Linked DNA regions of Nothobranchius furzeri. The protein of the gene in region 1 binds, or shares a complex with, the protein of each later gene. Links are inferred from orthologs where the notes say so. Each region holds a gene or a part of one and is shown on either strand. Other genes may lie near its edges.

What was found. The genes of interacting proteins can lie anywhere in the genome.
Region 2: ints2 (region 1) and ints12 share a complex: the UniProt entries of both Homo sapiens proteins name them as parts of the integrator complex. The link is inferred for Nothobranchius furzeri from reciprocal best matches to the Homo sapiens genes INTS2 and INTS12.

Annotation. Positions count from the first base shown.
Region 1 is NC_091750.1:42,350,896-42,354,439, forward strand, and holds part of ints2 (integrator complex subunit 2), read right to left. Parts: intron 1,356-3,544; coding exon 1,230-1,355; intron 149-1,229; coding exon 1-148. UniProt on the Homo sapiens protein: Component of the integrator complex, a multiprotein complex that terminates RNA polymerase II (Pol II) transcription in the promoter-proximal region of genes.
Region 2 is NC_091746.1:80,674,769-80,679,067, forward strand, and holds the start of ints12 (integrator complex subunit 12), read left to right. Parts: upstream 1-1,456; 5' UTR 1,457-1,583; intron 1,584-1,838; 5' UTR 1,839-1,846; coding exon 1,847-2,002; intron 2,003-3,027; coding exon 3,028-3,177; intron 3,178-3,389; coding exon 3,390-3,571; intron 3,572-3,683; coding exon 3,684-3,843; intron 3,844-3,922; coding exon 3,923-4,072; intron 4,073-4,299. Other genes in the region: gstcd (glutathione S-transferase C-terminal domain-containing protein), read right to left, coding at 669-1,082. UniProt on the Homo sapiens protein: Component of the integrator complex, a multiprotein complex that terminates RNA polymerase II (Pol II) transcription in the promoter-proximal region of genes.

The DNA.
Region 1 (3,544 bases):
CAGCTGACCCGATCCCGTCACACTAGAGACAGTCTGGCTCTGTCGCTCAAAGTCGGCCGTCTCCTTCAGGTGACTCTGCAGATAGGCTTTGGAGGCCAGCAGGTACCCATTAAGCATGTGAAGGACGATGTCCATCAGGGGAGGACACCTAAGAACAAGATGAGTTTATTTGTTCTTATTTAGTCATCTAAATAGCAAGTCATTTTGTTTATCCCTTCATGCTCTATATTATTTTATTTTTATACATCATAAACTTAAAACAATACAAAAATACCCTGGTATGTTCTGAATTATTCCTGCTTCTTCCTCTGGGGTTCCTGATTTATTTCAGATCTTAAATACACTAAATGAGTCTTGATGATCATTTAATTATCAGTTGCATTCACATAATGATATCAGTGTATTAATAAATGAATGTGTAACAGATTTGCTCCATATACTAAATGAAATGAGCTTTCTAAGCATCACAGAAAGGGCAGTGCCTGAGTGTCTTGGTAAACGCCTATACACACTTCTCAGATCAGGTTGGTCAAAGTTTACAAACAACCATTTCATTAAAAGTGAACTCACTTCCTGTTTTAGCCAGTTCCGCCAGAGCTTCGTCCAAAGCTCACAGCTCATGCTAAATTACCATCCTATGGGGAATCAAACCAGATTTTTCAGTGGAACAATTGTACAGGCTCAACCGAGCTTCTCACCCTATCTCTAAGGGAGAGGCCAGCCAACATGCGGAAAATAAATAATTTCGGCCGCTTGTATCTCATTCTTTCGGTCACTACCCAAAGCTCTTGACCAGAGGTGAGGGCAGGAACGTAGATCGAACGGTAAATTGAGAGCTTTGCCTTCTGGCTCCGCTCTCTCCACCACGACAGATCAGTACAATGTCTGCATTACTGAAGACGCAGCGCCAATATGCCTGTGGATCTTGCAGTCCATCTTTCCCTCACTCGTGAACAAGACCTTGAGATACTTAAACTCCTCCACTTGGGGCAGGACCTCATCCCTGACACGGAGAAGGCATTCTACCCTTTTCCGACTCAAGACCATGGTCTCAGATTTAGAGGAGCTGACTCTCATCCCAGCTGCTTCAAACTCTGCTACAAACCGCTCGAGTAAAACCTGGAAATCACATTCTGATGAAGCCATCTGGTAATGTATGATATAAGATATGACCATATTTCCTGATATGTGTATTTAGCTTTGTTTGAGCTTGTAGCCAGTCTGGTTACCTGTACACCCTCTGGTCACAGCGCAGCACAATCAGAGGATCAATCATCAGGTCGTTCTGGGTGCAGGTCTGCTGTTGCTGCAGAGTGGCTGATGGTTGGAGGGCGTTTACAGTCATCACCCACAATCTGAAACAAGTCCTCATGCTTTACACACTGAAATATGGGTAAACAAAGTTAATTCAAAGTATCTTGAGGTAACAGGAACATGAAAGCAGAGGAGGGGAGCTGGATCGGTTGGTTCCTGGGTTCTGGATCAACAGTACTTTAGGTTAGGAGAGAACAATGAGTTGCAATAATCCATCTCAAGATCACTTTTTGATTAACATTCTGAGCTTAGTGACCTTCAATAAAACCTGGGTAGGTCAAAACCATCAAAAGACATCAGGGTCGACTTGAGGGATGATGGACAGGATTTAGTACACGTCCATATGAATGGCTCATAAATTCAAGTACACTTGGCTGCAACTTCTAGCACGGGGCAGGGCATGGGATATGGCCAAACTATATCATATATGGAAATGGTGCAATTTCTTTCCAGAACTGAAGAGGGCGCTATTTCCAGCTTCCAACCATGTTTTTGATTTCTATTTAAATTAGATTTATAACGGCCACGAAACACAATACAATTACAACTAAACTTTCGTAATTTATTGATTTTACTTCTATTCCACATTGTTTTTCAACACAAGGGTGTCCTAACATTATTAAATGAACCCTATTTAAGTAGTAATATGAGTTTACAACCACTGTAGTTCAACTTTTATCTACTGAGGTGGAAAAATTGATGAAGGGAATTTCAACAAATTTTTTTACCCCCAACCCTTTTTAATTCACTCTCATTTCAAAACAACTAAAACCTGGAGTCAAATATTCTACATAGATAGCAGTATCCTAAAAACCAGTGTGCGATTTAGAAGACCTTCATCAGATTTGTGAAAGCCCAATTAAGGCCTATTTCAGCACATTTTCTGCATTTGCATCACATTAGAACTGGTCCAGCCCAGAAACTACAAGGTTAATCTAGGCTCTTCAGAGCTGAACTAGATTATTTTACACTAATAGCAGAATGTGTAATTCAGTTTTTGGTTTGTGGAATTTTCTTTGGTGTACTTTATCTGATTTTGTAAATCAAAAATAATAAAACAATGAAAAGACAGTGAAGTTCATTGTAGTTCACAAAGGTGCAGAGGAATTTAAGGTAATGCTTCCCTTGGGTTAATATTCCCCACCTTAATCCATTTCATGTATTTTTTTAAGGTGACTACTTCTTATATGAAGTTCTAGTTTATTTGTATTGTACATACTCCTTACACATTTGAATTCACACACACACACACACACACACACACACACACACACACACACACACACACACACACACACACACACACACACACACACACTATATGTGAAACACTGTATACTAATAAACAAGTTTTATAACACGCAGAAGCATGTATGTATTCGCATAAACCAGTAACATTTATCACTTTACACAAGACTAACACATTATTAAACTTACTCAATATATTACATATAATGAATAATTATAATGAATAATGAGAAAGGTAAGTCTATCGTATTTCAACAAAAATGCACAGGAGCACACAGAGCAAGCAACTAATGCTAGCACTGGCTCCAGCAAAGAGGTGTTCAGGGATACTCAGAAATATGGCAGCTTACATAAAGTCTTTCCAACAGGATCGATTTTTGAGTTTTATGAATAAATTGTGCATCTTTATTAGTAGGAATCGCGATTCGGACATGAATAAGTGTTTTCAGGCATCTCTACTGGTTTGGATCGTTCAGATTTTGAAAACTTGTGAACTTTTGAAAGTTCCATTCCTGTTAAGGTCCTGGAACAAGTTGATCATTCACAGATTAAGACCCATATGTTTCAATCTACGTTCAGACTACACAACAGCACCGAGTCCACTCTGATCGGTGTGCAGAATGACATTTTGGTTGCATCTGATTCAGGGCCCTATGTTTTGCTGCTGCTATTAGATCTCTCAGCAGCTTTTGATACATTTGACCCCAAAATCCTATTAGATAGTCTAAAATACAGGGTCGGTCTTTCTGGTCCTACATTGTGTTGGTTCCATTCTTATTTGGCAAACTGGTTATTTTGTGTGCTGACTGGGTGCCGCAGGGTTCTGTCCTGGGGCCCCTTCTGTTCCCCATCTATCTTCTTGAGGGGTATGGCATAGGCTACCATATTTAAGTTGATGATTGTCAAACATACTTGGTGAAGAATGCACTAAACACAGATTTATTGCTCACAGATTGACTCTCTGATGTGAAGGGGTGGTTGG
Region 2 (4,299 bases), on another chromosome or scaffold:
ACTGCAATAACTGAGAGGTTCGCCTTTAGTTTTTAACTCAATAAGATGCTATTAATGCAATTTTACATTATGATGTAAAAATTGCACCTCCACGTCAGAAATAGACCAATATATTTGTTGGCCGACATATTTTTATAAATCAGCATCAGCTGATACACCCGTTTAGAGGGGCCGATTTAAAAACTGAAACAGCCACAGGCAGTCCAGTGCTGCTGCAGGATTTTATTTAAATGTGCGTGTGTGTTCCTGATCTACTTAATAAATGTTTAAAAACATTCTTCTTAACTGAAGTATTTTTTGTTTACCCGTTTTTATTTAAGACTTGGTCAGTTTATGATTTGTTCGATTACCTTTGGCTAAATGTTTGATTTTAATACGAGCGGTGCAAAAAAAATTAAGATACAAGAGTTGTTTAAATTCAGAGTTCAACAACGGATCCATGTTCAGAAACGTTGTGCATCATGTTTTTGTCAGTGACATCTAAGCATGCAAATAAGGTGGAAAATGTCGAGTTATCGGCCGCGAACATCGGTAGCAAATATCGGCCATCAGCTGACCATGACCCCCATATATCAGCATCAGTATCAGCATCTGAAAACCCCATATCAGTGGATCTCTACACCTGATTTCCCCAGACACCCAAAAGCTGACGCTTGTCTCCCACTGACCTCCGCACAGGCCTTCAAGCAGGTTTTTTTGAAACCCAGCAGCTCCAGAACATCCTTCCTGGAAGGGTCTTCCTCAGTGGTTTTGATGATAATGTGCCTGAGCACCACGGCTAGTCCTGCCCTGCACAGGCGCCCGCTCTCATCCACCGCTGCCGGGAGACGGCAGCTCCTCACCAGCTGGGGCAGATCCTCCAGCTGGACCCAGCTGACACCAACAGGCACTGGGAGCTGGCTCCTGAAAGCGTCCGAGCAGCTACTGGTGTAAACCATGAACACTTTGAAGGACTTGCACTCGCAGTATGATAGGAGAAACATAACTATGGACGTGTGCAGGGGGAGACGCAGCTCCTCGTTCTGGGAACAAACCTCTAAGAAGAGGGAGAGATGTTGCTCTTTTTTCTCGTTGTGCTTCATTGTAAATAAACTAGAAGGACAGTAAAACAATCAGTTAGTTTTATCATTGTTTTAGTGTTCTCTGTTGGTACTTTTACGTCTAGATTACTTAAATTCAACATATGACCCAAGAAAAATGACTTACCTGAAACAGGCGGACCGGTGTGTTTTGGTGATTCTTCTTCTGCTGTTTTTTCACTAGCATAGCTCCACAGCGCCGCCAGCGGTCTTCTCAAACGTTTCAAAACTCTCTTCATGAAAGAGTAACACCTATGTACAAAATATGTACCGCAAAGGAAAACATACGTGGGATGAATACTTATTTTATTATAACCAAAATAGTATAATAACCACGCGAACGCGAATACAAATTTCGCAAAACGTTCCGCCCTTGCAGACTCCGGACATATTTGTCGGTTACTCAAATGTGAAGACGAAACGCCGACGGAAGTGTTGCTCAGTTTTCCGTTGTTCAATAGAAAGAAAATATTCCGGTAAAACAGAAAATACACCCAGTCTCGGGTAAGCCTGTGTTTATGATAATTATGAGCTTCAATTTTAGAATTATAAAGCGACCTCGGTAACTACCGCGGTGCTTCTGTGGTTGTAGTCCGTCTTCCTGTTTTTACTCAGAAACCAAATATTTGCCAATGTTTAAAGTCATTCACAGCAGTTGGATCGGTGGGACTCGGCTTATAGGCGCCGGCAGTTCTTTTTACTTTGATGAAATGATACTAATTCACAGCATTACGTGAATTGTTATTGTTTGATTTCTAGTGGAAGCGATGGCTGGACCTGTCAGTTTGGAGCTGGATCCCATCTTCCTAAAAGGACTGAGTTATCTACATTCCAAGAGCAAAGATTCAGCTGAGAAGCTCAAAGCTCTACTTGATGAGTCCCTTGCTAGAGGCAGCGATTCCTCTTATCGCTCTTCACAAAAAGTAAGATAATTCATTCTCATATACACTCACCTAAAGGATTATTAGGAACACCTGTTCAACTTCTCCTTAATGCAATTATCTAATCAATCAATCACATGGCGGTTGCTTCAGTGCATTTTGGGGTGTGGTCCTGGTCAAGGCAATCTCCTGAACCCCAAATGCCACGGGCTACCTGAGCATTGTTTCTGACCATGTCCATCCCTTCATGACCACCTTGTACCCATCCTCTGGTGGCTAATTCCAGCAGGATAATGCACCGTGTCATAAAGCTCCAGTCATTTCAAACTGGTTTCTTGAACATGACAATGAGTTCACTGTACTACAACGGCCCCCACAGTCACCAGATCTCAACCCGATAGAGCATCTGTGGAACGGGAGCTCCGTGCCCTGGATGTGCATCCCACAAATCTTCCATCAACTGCAAGATGCTATCCTACCAATATGGGCCAAGATTTCTAAAGAATGCTTTCAGCACCTTGTTGAATCAATGCCACGTACAATTAAGACAGTTCTGAAGGCGAAAGGGGGTCAAACACCGTATTAGTGTGGTGTTCTTAATAATCCTTTAGGTGAGTGTAGAGAAATCCCCTTAAAGAGCAAGTCACCCCCTACCAGAGTCTTACTCCACTCCCACTTCCTGTTTGAAAAATGCAACAAATGCTGTTACCTGGCAGACCGAGGGGGTGGAGCCACTAACAAATACACACACAGGCTCACAATGACTTTGTGACATCATAATGTACTTCTTAGACAATAGCAATGGCAGAGTTTTTACCTGAAGACGACGTAACACTGACAGTTTTAGGCAGATTATTTAAATTTATCTAAGATGCACCAAAGTGCCAAGTTATTGACTACAAGTGTCTACAGCATGATTAGACACTCATTTATATAGTTTATCAGCAAGAAAGAAATTTGGGGGGGGGGGGGGGGGGGGGGGGGCTGACTTGCTCTTTAATGTCATTCGTATGACATTGTTTTAAAACCAAGTGCTTGTGCCTTCTGTGTGATTGTTTTGTCCTCAGGAGGTGGAAGTGTCAAAGGCATCCGTGTCAAAGCTGAGTTTAAGTAAAGAGCCCAAGTCTTCAAGTTCTTCTTCTGGCAGCAGCGGTGGAAGTAGTAAATCCAGCTCAGAGAAAGGCAAGAAAGAAGGCGAGAAGAGGTCATCAGAGAAGGTGTGGAAGACATTTTTCCAATTTTTACTAATGATCCCAGTAATCTGTGTCGTGTTGCTGTTCAATTGGGAAGTAAAAGTGCACAAATGAATGAAAAGTGCATATTATATAACTCTAAAGCTTTAAAGCAGAATCCGATTTAAATATGTGATCAGGTGTTTTTTGTTTGTGTGATTTAGTCAAACTTCCTTTTGTATTTTGCTGAAAAACAGGCCAGGGTTGACGTGAGCGAAGTGGACCCCCCCAAAAAGCCTCGTTTAGAGAAACAAGAGAACCGCTCCTCTCCAATCACATTTCAGACGAGCAAAGACCTCCTACCAAACATAAACGACTACGACGAGACAAACGCTGACGACTTTGCCATGGAAATGGGTCTGGCCTGCGTGGTTTGCAGGTACGAGTAGCCAATCGTGTAGATTTGTCAGCATGTTATTCCCTCAAATTAATCAGATCACCATTTTAAGCAGAAATTCAGTCTTTTTTTTTTAAATAATTAATTCTCTCAGACAAATGACGGTGACCATGGGAAACCAGTTGGTGGAGTGCCAAGAGTGTCATAATCTCTACCACCAGGACTGCCACAAACCTCAAGTGACTGATAAGGAAGTGAATGACCCACGGCTTGTGTGGTATTGTGCCCGTTGCACCAGGCAAATGAAACGGATGGTGAGGAAAATCAAGTCACGATCCTGCATCACCTTTTTAATGATGAACTAACTTGTTTGTTTGTTTGTTTGTTGACCAGGCTCAGAAGCCTCCTCAGAAACCATCCCCTGCATCTGCATCTTCAGCACCGGTTGTTAAAGACCCGCTGGTGAAAAAGACAGAGCTGAAGGCTAAAACCGATACAACCAGCACCTTCCAGGCCTTCAAGAGGACAGAGGTGAAGGTGTGTGTGAGTATTTTAATTAAAAATGACATCCTCAGTCTTGTTTCTACTAACCAGTAAGGGGTTTAGAGGTAAGAAAAGCAACAGGAACAGTTCCTTTTCTTTCCTTAATTGTTTAGAAGATTTGTTTCTGCGTTTGGATTCAGACAATATGGCAGTTTTAGTGTCAAATATATTCAATCTTATTAGTTTAAGACCTTTTAGGGATCATTTACCAATTAGAATACATTTGT